Linked DNA regions of Mus musculus. The protein of the gene in region 1 interacts with the protein of each later gene in a pairwise test. Links are inferred from orthologs where the notes say so. Each region holds a gene or a part of one and is shown in the gene's direction. Other genes may lie near its edges.

Region 1 (3,810 bases):
GCAAGGTAATGTCGTCCGACTTGAAAGTGCCACGGTGTGAAAGGGACCACATTTCTATTTCAGCTCTGACTATAGCCATTCAATTGCTAAGGGAATCCAGGGGCAGTCGGTAGGAGAGAACGCCTATCACGTCAGACCCCTGGGACAGCCTCTGCTGTTCTGTTCTGTCCAGGTGGCTGTCTTGACCCCGCCCCCCCCCCCCCATGCAGTTTAATATAGATTTATTTACTTGAACCAAGGGCTCACTATTGTTTGTTGTGCTGGGAAAAATTGCACTCAGGGTGTGACTAACCTGCACATGCTTGGTAGGCAAGCTCTCAGTTGCGTTCTGAGCTCTCAACCTATCTTGTGTCTGTAGTAAAGATATGCCGAGAGAGCTCTTGGGACCTATCTCTTTGCTTCTCTCCAGAAAAGAAGCGGGCGAAGGCACCTGAACAGCCCACTCCCCCCATTCAGGAAGAGCCTGAGCCTGTCAGCAATGTCTTACAAGGAGATGACATTCTTGCCTTGGCCATTAAAAAGGAAGACTTGAGGAAGGTAAGGCCAAGGGCCAAGGATCGCACAGAGCACCCAGCCGTGTTCACGGGTCACCTCTCCATTGGCTTCCGGATCCCAAGGAGTCGCTAATACCATGCCAAAAACAAAAATACAAAAAACAAACAAACAAACAAACAAAAAACACCAAATATAAATTCTTTCCCTTTAGCATCTGAAAGAATTTATGGCAAGTTAGGTTTTCACATTTCTGAGATTCTACCAGAGCCACAAAATAGTGAGATACCTTGGGGGCAACTGTTATCATGCCCATCCCATAGATGGGCAGATAAGTTCGATCATCATAGATAAAAATGAGCAGGAGGCTGCTGAACTCCAACCCTTCCCCTTACCTGTCAGTTGCTCTTACTTAGTCTGCCTGGACAAGCCAGGTGTCATTTTATCCCCCTCCAGCTTACTCCTAAATCTCAGGTCTGTCACACAGGCATTTCCAGGACAGGATGTATGGATGGATCTGGGAAAGCTGACTAGTCAGCCCTCAGGAATCCTACCAAGAACAGAGGTGTGTGTGTGTGTGTTCTTCCTCTTCTCCCCAGATCGCATTCTCCTCAGCTCTGTTTTGTTTTAGCAACATGTTCCTCAGTTTGAAGAAACAGGAGAAAAGCCTGTGGTCACACAGAAATTTATCATCCGTAAGCTCAAACCGAAAGACTCTAGCAAAAGGGTCTACCACTTGGTAGCACATCCTGCTACTCCAGATGCCGCCACCAAGCCTCTGGACTACTCCGGTATGGGCTCTGTTGTAGACTTTGCATTCCCTGATGGGTCTTGAAAACCCGCCCCCCCCAACCCCCACCCCCCACCCCCGTCCATCAAACAGCTGCTCTGTGTGTGGCTCACAGCGTCTGGTTCTCCATCTCTCTTCCCCCTTCACCCACCCACCCCCAGGTCCTCATGACAGCTTCTTAAGCAGTGGCCAGATCCTCCCTCACCAGATCTTGGGAAGTCTCCAGGACTTTAAAAGAATCGCGGTTGCTCGAGGGAACACCCAGGTTTGTTTGTTGTATAGAGAGCTATGTGGCTGAGAGAAGTTGCCGAAGCCATTTACTCTCTGTAGAGTCAAAGGGTGTGTGTATGTGTGTGTGTGTGTGTGTGTATGTGTGTGTGTGTGTGTGTGTGTGTGTGTGTGTGTGTGTATGTATGTGTGTGTGTGTGTGTGTATGTGTGTAGATGGGGGTACAGGGATAGGATTCTAGAGCTAGGTCTGTCTCTGGGCCTAGATGATAAGGGACCCTTGGGAAGCAGTTGCAAGTCCTAGAAGCCAGTCGCTAATAGACAGCTCTAGGTGGAGTGGGGATTTACTAGAAGGAACTCAGAGCCTGCCTTGTGAAACTCTGGGTAGACTGAGCCCCACAACGAAGTAGCGCTCTGGCCTCAGCTCCTCATTCCCCTTCTTTGGAGCCTGGATTGCTGAGGTGCAGGCTGGAGGGAAATGACCCCCACTGGTCCCCGTGTTACCTTCCTTCCTGCCACATAGCTCTTAGAGCCTTCACTTCAGTTAGGCAGGGTACTAAGGGCCCAGCTACTCAGGAGGAAGTCATCAATTGGGGAGAAGACGGCTACCCTGAAGGATGCTGAGTTTTCTGGGCAGAGGGGACTGTCAGCATCCCTCAGGCCCTGGTTTGTTTTCTGTCACTTGCCCGTCCTATGGTCCTGACGAGGAGAGGTTCTTAGAGCTGGACAGAAACCAGAACCTGGGTCAGCACCTCCTCCTCTCCCTTGTTCTTTCCAGCTGGCTAAGCTGATTCACATCCAGCCCTGCCTGATGACCCTCATCTCAGCCAAAGAAGAGCCAAAGCCAAAGCCCCCCAAGGAGGAGGAGAGACCTTCTCCATGGGCCCCACCTCCTCAGCACAACTTCCTAAAGAACTGGAGACGGCACATTGCCTTGCGGAAGAAGCAACAGGAAGCTCTCAGCAGTGAGCTGAGCCCACTAGGGACCTGCCAGGGTCCCTCCATCAGGCACAGAGGCTCTTCTGTGTCTTCTCTCTCACCCGCCCAGACTCCCACTAACTAGCATTTGCCCCATGACAGCTTCTGGCTTTCAGGCCTCAGTGGGTTCTGAAATGAGGCAGGGAGTGGGCCACCCAATTCAGAGTGCGAGAGCTTGTGTGTTCTGTTTTTGGTACCATGATCACAGTCTTCCTTCCTTCTCTCCCGCTCTAGAGCACCTGAAGAAGCCAGCCAGTGAGCTGTTGATGCATACCGGGGAGAGCTATAGGAAGATCCAGGAGGAGCGCGAGGTCATTGACCGTGCACTTCCCACCCAGCATGACGGAAAAGTGAGGCCACTGTTCCCAAGTACCACACAGAATGCACATGATGACCAGTGCCAGCTTGTCTCCAGTTACACAGTTGGGGAGAAGATAGCCTGTCTATTACCAAGCAGTATCAACCCCCTGGGATCTTACCTTATCTCATCTTCCAGAACTACTCACTTTTAATAATTCAGCCTGTGGTGGTCTCTGGTAGTCAGTTTATTATAAGAGTCTTCATGTGTGTCTCCTAAAGGTTTATACTACAATCTTTGGTCTAACCAAGGACAAAGAACTGTGCCATGTTTTGGTACATCAATGAGTGCCTGGGCTGGGACCAGATCATCCCATCTTTCTGGCATCTTGAGAACAAAACATTGTTGAGTGCCCACTCTTCTTCCAGTGGGACCCAGTGGATGCCCCAGTGAGTCTCTGACTGTGGTACTGAGGGGGTGACCTCACTGCTCTGTCCTCATCTTGACTTTAAGGCAACCAGTTGGTTCTGGAGTCCACTGGAATACCTGGGTGATGAGATGACAGGTCTTCTCATGACCAAAAAGAAAACTCAGCGTGGTCTGGTGGAACCCATCACACACATCAGGAAGCCCCTCTCCATCCAAGTGGAGACTGGTGAGAAGCAAGGCCTGTAGGCTTATGTTTTTCAAAACCTACTTTAGTAAGTGTACCTAAATGCTTTAACCTCCCTTCCAGCCCACCACCCATCAGAGGTAGTGGAAAGGAAAGATTAATAGGGCAAAGGAGGATGTGGACCTGTTCAGAAATAGTTCTTTGATGTGAATACGATCGGCCTTCTCAGGATATCAGCAGTTCAGTTAGCACAAATCAGCAGTGGTCGCTTCATCCACTCACAAACACCATTCACAAATCAGCAATGACAGTTCAATCCAGAGGAAACCGCGAGACTCTTTGGCAAGAGGCCACCGGAACACCACTGGAAGTTCTTTGGTGGTGTTTCTATGAAATCATGACAAGTGATGAC
Region 2 (4,610 bases), on another chromosome or scaffold:
GATCCAACAAACATCAGGCTTTATCCACCGAGCCAGCTCATTGGTCTACCCAAAGATGAGGTTTTTTTTTTTTTTTTTTTTTTTTTAAAGAGCTTGGGACAGGAGCTAGAGCTCCAGAGAGGGCCCAAGAGAGGGCTATGGAAAGGTTAGATTGGCTCCAATATAGGAGGAAGTCCCAAGAAAGAAGAAGAAAAAAATCCAGGTTCCTGGGGTGGAGTTGGGAGTTCACACATGGTGAGACCCTGCCTCAAAACAATAACACAACGCCTCCCCATCCCCACTCCATGTAAAATTCCCAAAAAGCTCAACTAAAAAAACTGGATGAGTCTCGAATGCCTTAGAGCAGAGATGGGAGGGAGGAAGGGCATTGCCAACAGGAACAAAGGGAGGCAAGGCAAGCACCACCCACCAGGGGACTCTGCTTTGCACTTTTTCATTCAGTTTGTGGTTGAAGCTGGGTTCATAAGTTCTTTCAACATGAGTTTAAGTTCTGTGGCTTCTCATAACCAAATATGTTTTTTTCTCAAGACCAACAGAAAAGACAGTATTTTCATTATTTGTGCAACATAGAGCCATCGTTTTGCTTTTCTTAGATAGTCTAGAAACTTTGCAGCTAGGGAGCAGTAAGATGACTTGGTGGTAAAGGCACTCGTTGTCAAGCCTGACAACCTTAATGCAATTACTGAGACTAACGGTGGAAGGAGAGCAAGTCCTATGAGTCTTCCGATCTCCAACTGCACCACGGCATGAATACTCTTCCCCAACTCCTGGAAAAAAAAAAATCCACTGGATTTCAAAAAGATAAGGTGGGGGTAGGGCCTTACATTAAAACAAGACTACAATGAATTCTTTGTTTTGGAGACAGGGTTTCTGTGTAGCCCTGACCATCTTGGACCAGAATGGCTTCGAACTCAGGATGGTCTCCACTTTTCTTGCACTGAGATTAAATTCGTGTGCCACCAGCGCCTAGTGAATAGAATGACTTCTATATAGAGAGATCAAAACAAAATCTAGCCAAGTAGCAGGCACAACTACAAATTCATTAAAGGGCCCTCTTCTGCACTTAGAAATCTCCTTAGAGAGACATACACACTTAGTACTACCTATAATTATTTTCAACATAAAAACACGCATAATATATATGGAAAAGAACTTAATGTTAACCACTAAGGGGGTATAAAAAAAAAAAAAAGGAAACTAATGACAAAGGCAGAGAAAAGAACCACTTCAGAGGTCATTGCCCTAATCCAACATTGCTGTAGAGATAAGTTTTCTACCAGCCAGCAGTTATCTGCAAATATCACGGGGCTTAATGATTACAAGCAAGCCCTGAACAAGCCCAAAAGAGATTCTTTATTTAGCTGAGGGTGACCTTGAACTTTTTCCTGGTGCTGGGTATTTTTCTGAGCCAAGAAACACGGCATTGGTCTGTTCCTCACCAAAGACCCAAATGACAAGGAGTGCGCGCCCACTAACACGTGGGGAGATACTACATCAGGAGCCTCTAACTCCTGGCCACACCCATCCAGGGCCCCACAGGTCGTTCGCCTGGCTTTACCTAAACCTCGCCTCTTGCTAGGCAACCGAATCGCCGCGGCAACCGGAACAGGAAGACGCGAGACTGCCCGGAACCGCGGAGGGCGGGCTCACGCAGCCTCTCTAGGCTCCGAGGAGACAGGGATACACAGCGTCCCGGTCGCCATGAAAACAGGCCACACCCCGGTGGCCCCGGCCCGTGCCTGCCCAGTGCGCAGACGCGCGCGCCGTTCCGCGCATGAGCAGTGAGGCTTGGAGCCCGCCTGCCCGTGTCTCCGGCGCCAGCTACGCCGCTGTGGCTGTCACTATGGCCCATTACAAAGTGAGGGGGGCGCGGCGTGGCTCGGGGCGTGCGGGCGGCGCCGGGTGGGAGTTGGGGCGTGTGCAGGGCTTGGGGCCGGCGGCGGGGCGCGCCGTCTTCCTGCTCCGGCCCCGGGCTCCGGTCCCTGACCCGCCGTGTCTCCTCAGGCCGCCGACTCGAAGCGCGAGCAGTTCCGGAGGTACTTGGAGAAGTCGGGGGTGCTGGACACGCTGACGAAAGGTGAGCCGAGGCGGGCGGCTGCAGCCCACGTCCGCGCGCTCTTGGCCAGGTGGGGCCCGCCCCGGGAGCAGCGAGGCCTTGGGGTCCCGTGGGTCGGGCGCACGCCGGCCGCGGGACTTCGCCTCGCCCCGGTGGTCGCTCTCTGCCCCGGACTGAAACTCTTGCAGCTGTTGCAAAGTCTCTCCAACTTCCGTTGCTTTCCCGCGAGCAGCCGCAGTGGACACGTTAGCAAGACCTTGAGATCCCAGTTGCTCCCTGCCGTATAGTGTGCGGGATTTTACAAATTTTTCTTTTGGACAAAGGCAACTAAGAAAATGACTGGATTTGAAAGTGGGTTATTAAATGGCTCTAGTCCCCGAAGCTGGAGATTCATAGACAGTTTGGGCTGTGGCTTTTCAACTCTTTTAGCCTATAGTAATTCCTACTTTGTGTAGATATCATAATTAAAGTGGAATTACAATTTGAAAAGTGCTTCAGAGCACATAAAAACAGCTATATTCTTTACTTTAAAACAATGGAAGCGTAAAGTGTATCCCTTCCTTTCTGGGTGTAAGGCTAGAGAGTATGGTGGTTGGAATCATAGAATAAAGCTAACTGGCCTTAACAGTATATTGAATGCCTTCTACATGGTAAGAACTCAACATTGCTTGGTGTTTTCAAGGGAATAGAATGGAATGGCTGGCAGGGATTGAAAACTTGGTCCTTTTGAGAATAGGAAGTGTCTGGGAAATAATTTGTATCTGCTTTTTAGGGAACAAAAGCTAGGGGAAAATTTGGGAGAACTTAGAAGAAAGCAGGGCTTTTAATTCTCTTACATGGATGAACTGACAAGTTAGAATTACTACTCATTTCCTTATGTCATCGGAAGTCAATGTGAGCAAAAGTATAAGGAACTACTCTGTGAGACCACTGTAGTTTGTGGCATCAGAAGTGTCACAGATGGCTTGGAATTCTGTTAAAAAAAACCCCTCATGTTTCTTTCATGTAATGATTTTACTCCAGCCGTGTGTTCTGGGCACCAAGGGGATACAGCCATGGAAATGTTCTTGCTTTTGGGAGCTTGTAGCTTAGATAGGGACACACACACACTAAAACTAGTGCCAGCTAGTGGTAAATGTCTAACTTAAACCATAGCAAGGATAAAGATGGGACATTTTACATGGAGTGGCAGAGGGAAGACCTTGAACAGTACGGATAAGTATCCTTAATCTGAAATTTTGAAATCTAAATTGCTCTCAGATTTGTAACTTACTGAGTATTGATGTGGAAAGTTCCATACTTGACTGCATAAATTATGTCAGTCAAAATTCAGGAGCCTAGGAATATGTACTTGTTCAAGATCATGTTTATATTATGTGAATAAGGTCTATATGGAATGTAAATTAATTTCATGTTTAGGCTTGGATCTCATCTCCAAAACACTCATTATGTATGAGTAGATAGTTCAACCTCTGGAGATAAACACTGATACACTTTTGGTCCCAAATAATCTGTGTGGTAGGGTCGTGGAATGAAATGGATGCAGGAGGTTGACAGGCAAGAACACTGAAAGGCAGATGGAGTACAATTGTAGATAACTGAATGCAGAGCCAATGTGCAGCCTTCAGGCTGTGTAAGAGAATGGGAACCAAATTTTACAGGATCAAACAGAGATGTTTCATACAAGTTTACATTTTTCTTTCAGCAACATTTCAGAGAGGATTTAAAGTTGTTTCTAACATGAAAACATTGTAAGAAGCCAGGCATGGTGACATGTTTTTAGTGCTCTGGTGAGGGAAAACAGATCTGCATTCACTGCTTGCCTGGAGCATGTATCAAGATCTGTTCCAAAAAAAGTAAACTATAGCTAGGCTAGAGAGATGGCTTAGAGGTAAGATTACTTGATACACAACTATAGGGCTAGAGTTCAGGTACCAGCACTCATAATAAGCCAGACAGGGTCTTGGTGTGTATAATTCTGCTAGCCTAGGTAAAAGGATGGAAGCTGGAGGCTGAGGGAGACCTTGCCTCAAAGGTTTGAGGCATATGCAGAAGACCTAGACATCTTGTTTCATTTCTAATTGCACTTGACAAGCTGAAGTAGGAGGACTGATTGAATCTGAGACCAGCCTTGGCTAAAGAGTAAAACTACATCTTTAAAAAAAAAAAAAAAAAAAAACCAAACCAAACTTAACCAACCAATCATCAACAACAGAACAATAACAACCTTCAAGACAAAAACATCCATGAAGAAGGTGAATGCATAAAATAGCATTTTAGTTATTTTGAGCAGGGTAGCAAACTTTAAAATACCTGGCTTTAAATACCTAGTTGCTAAGAGCCAGCAAGAAGGCTCAGCAGGTGAAGGTGCTTGCTGCCAAGCCAAATGGACCTGAGTTTGTTTGTTTTTTGTTTTTTTGTTTTTTGAGACAGGGTTTCTCTGGATAGCCCTGGCTGTCCTGGAACTCACTTTGTAGACCAGGCTGGCCTCGAACTCAGAAATCCGCCTGCCTCTGCCTCCACGCCTGGCTGGACCTGAGTTTGATTCCCAAAA

Evidence for each region.
Region 2: the proteins of Mycbpap (region 1) and Mycbp interact in binary tests that used the Homo sapiens proteins (3 or more experiments, as listed by UniProt). The link is inferred for Mus musculus from reciprocal best matches to the Homo sapiens genes MYCBPAP and MYCBP.

The regions. Positions count from the first base shown.
Region 1 is NC_000077.6:94,511,255-94,515,064, reverse strand, and holds part of Mycbpap (MYCBP-associated protein), read left to right. Parts: intron 1-409; coding exon 410-537; intron 538-1,123; coding exon 1,124-1,283; intron 1,284-1,443; coding exon 1,444-1,547; intron 1,548-2,287; coding exon 2,288-2,474; exon of another isoform or gene 2,475-2,721; coding exon 2,722-2,837; intron 2,838-3,298; coding exon 3,299-3,440; intron 3,441-3,810. UniProt on the Homo sapiens protein: May play a role in spermatogenesis. May be involved in synaptic processes.
Region 2 is NC_000070.6:123,903,230-123,907,839, forward strand, and holds the start of Mycbp (C-Myc-binding protein), read left to right. Parts: upstream 1-1,783; 5' UTR 1,784-1,843; coding exon 1,844-1,858; exon of another isoform or gene 1,859-2,004; coding exon 2,005-2,077; exon of another isoform or gene 2,078-2,332; intron 2,333-4,610. UniProt on the Homo sapiens protein: May control the transcriptional activity of MYC. Stimulates the activation of E box-dependent transcription by MYC.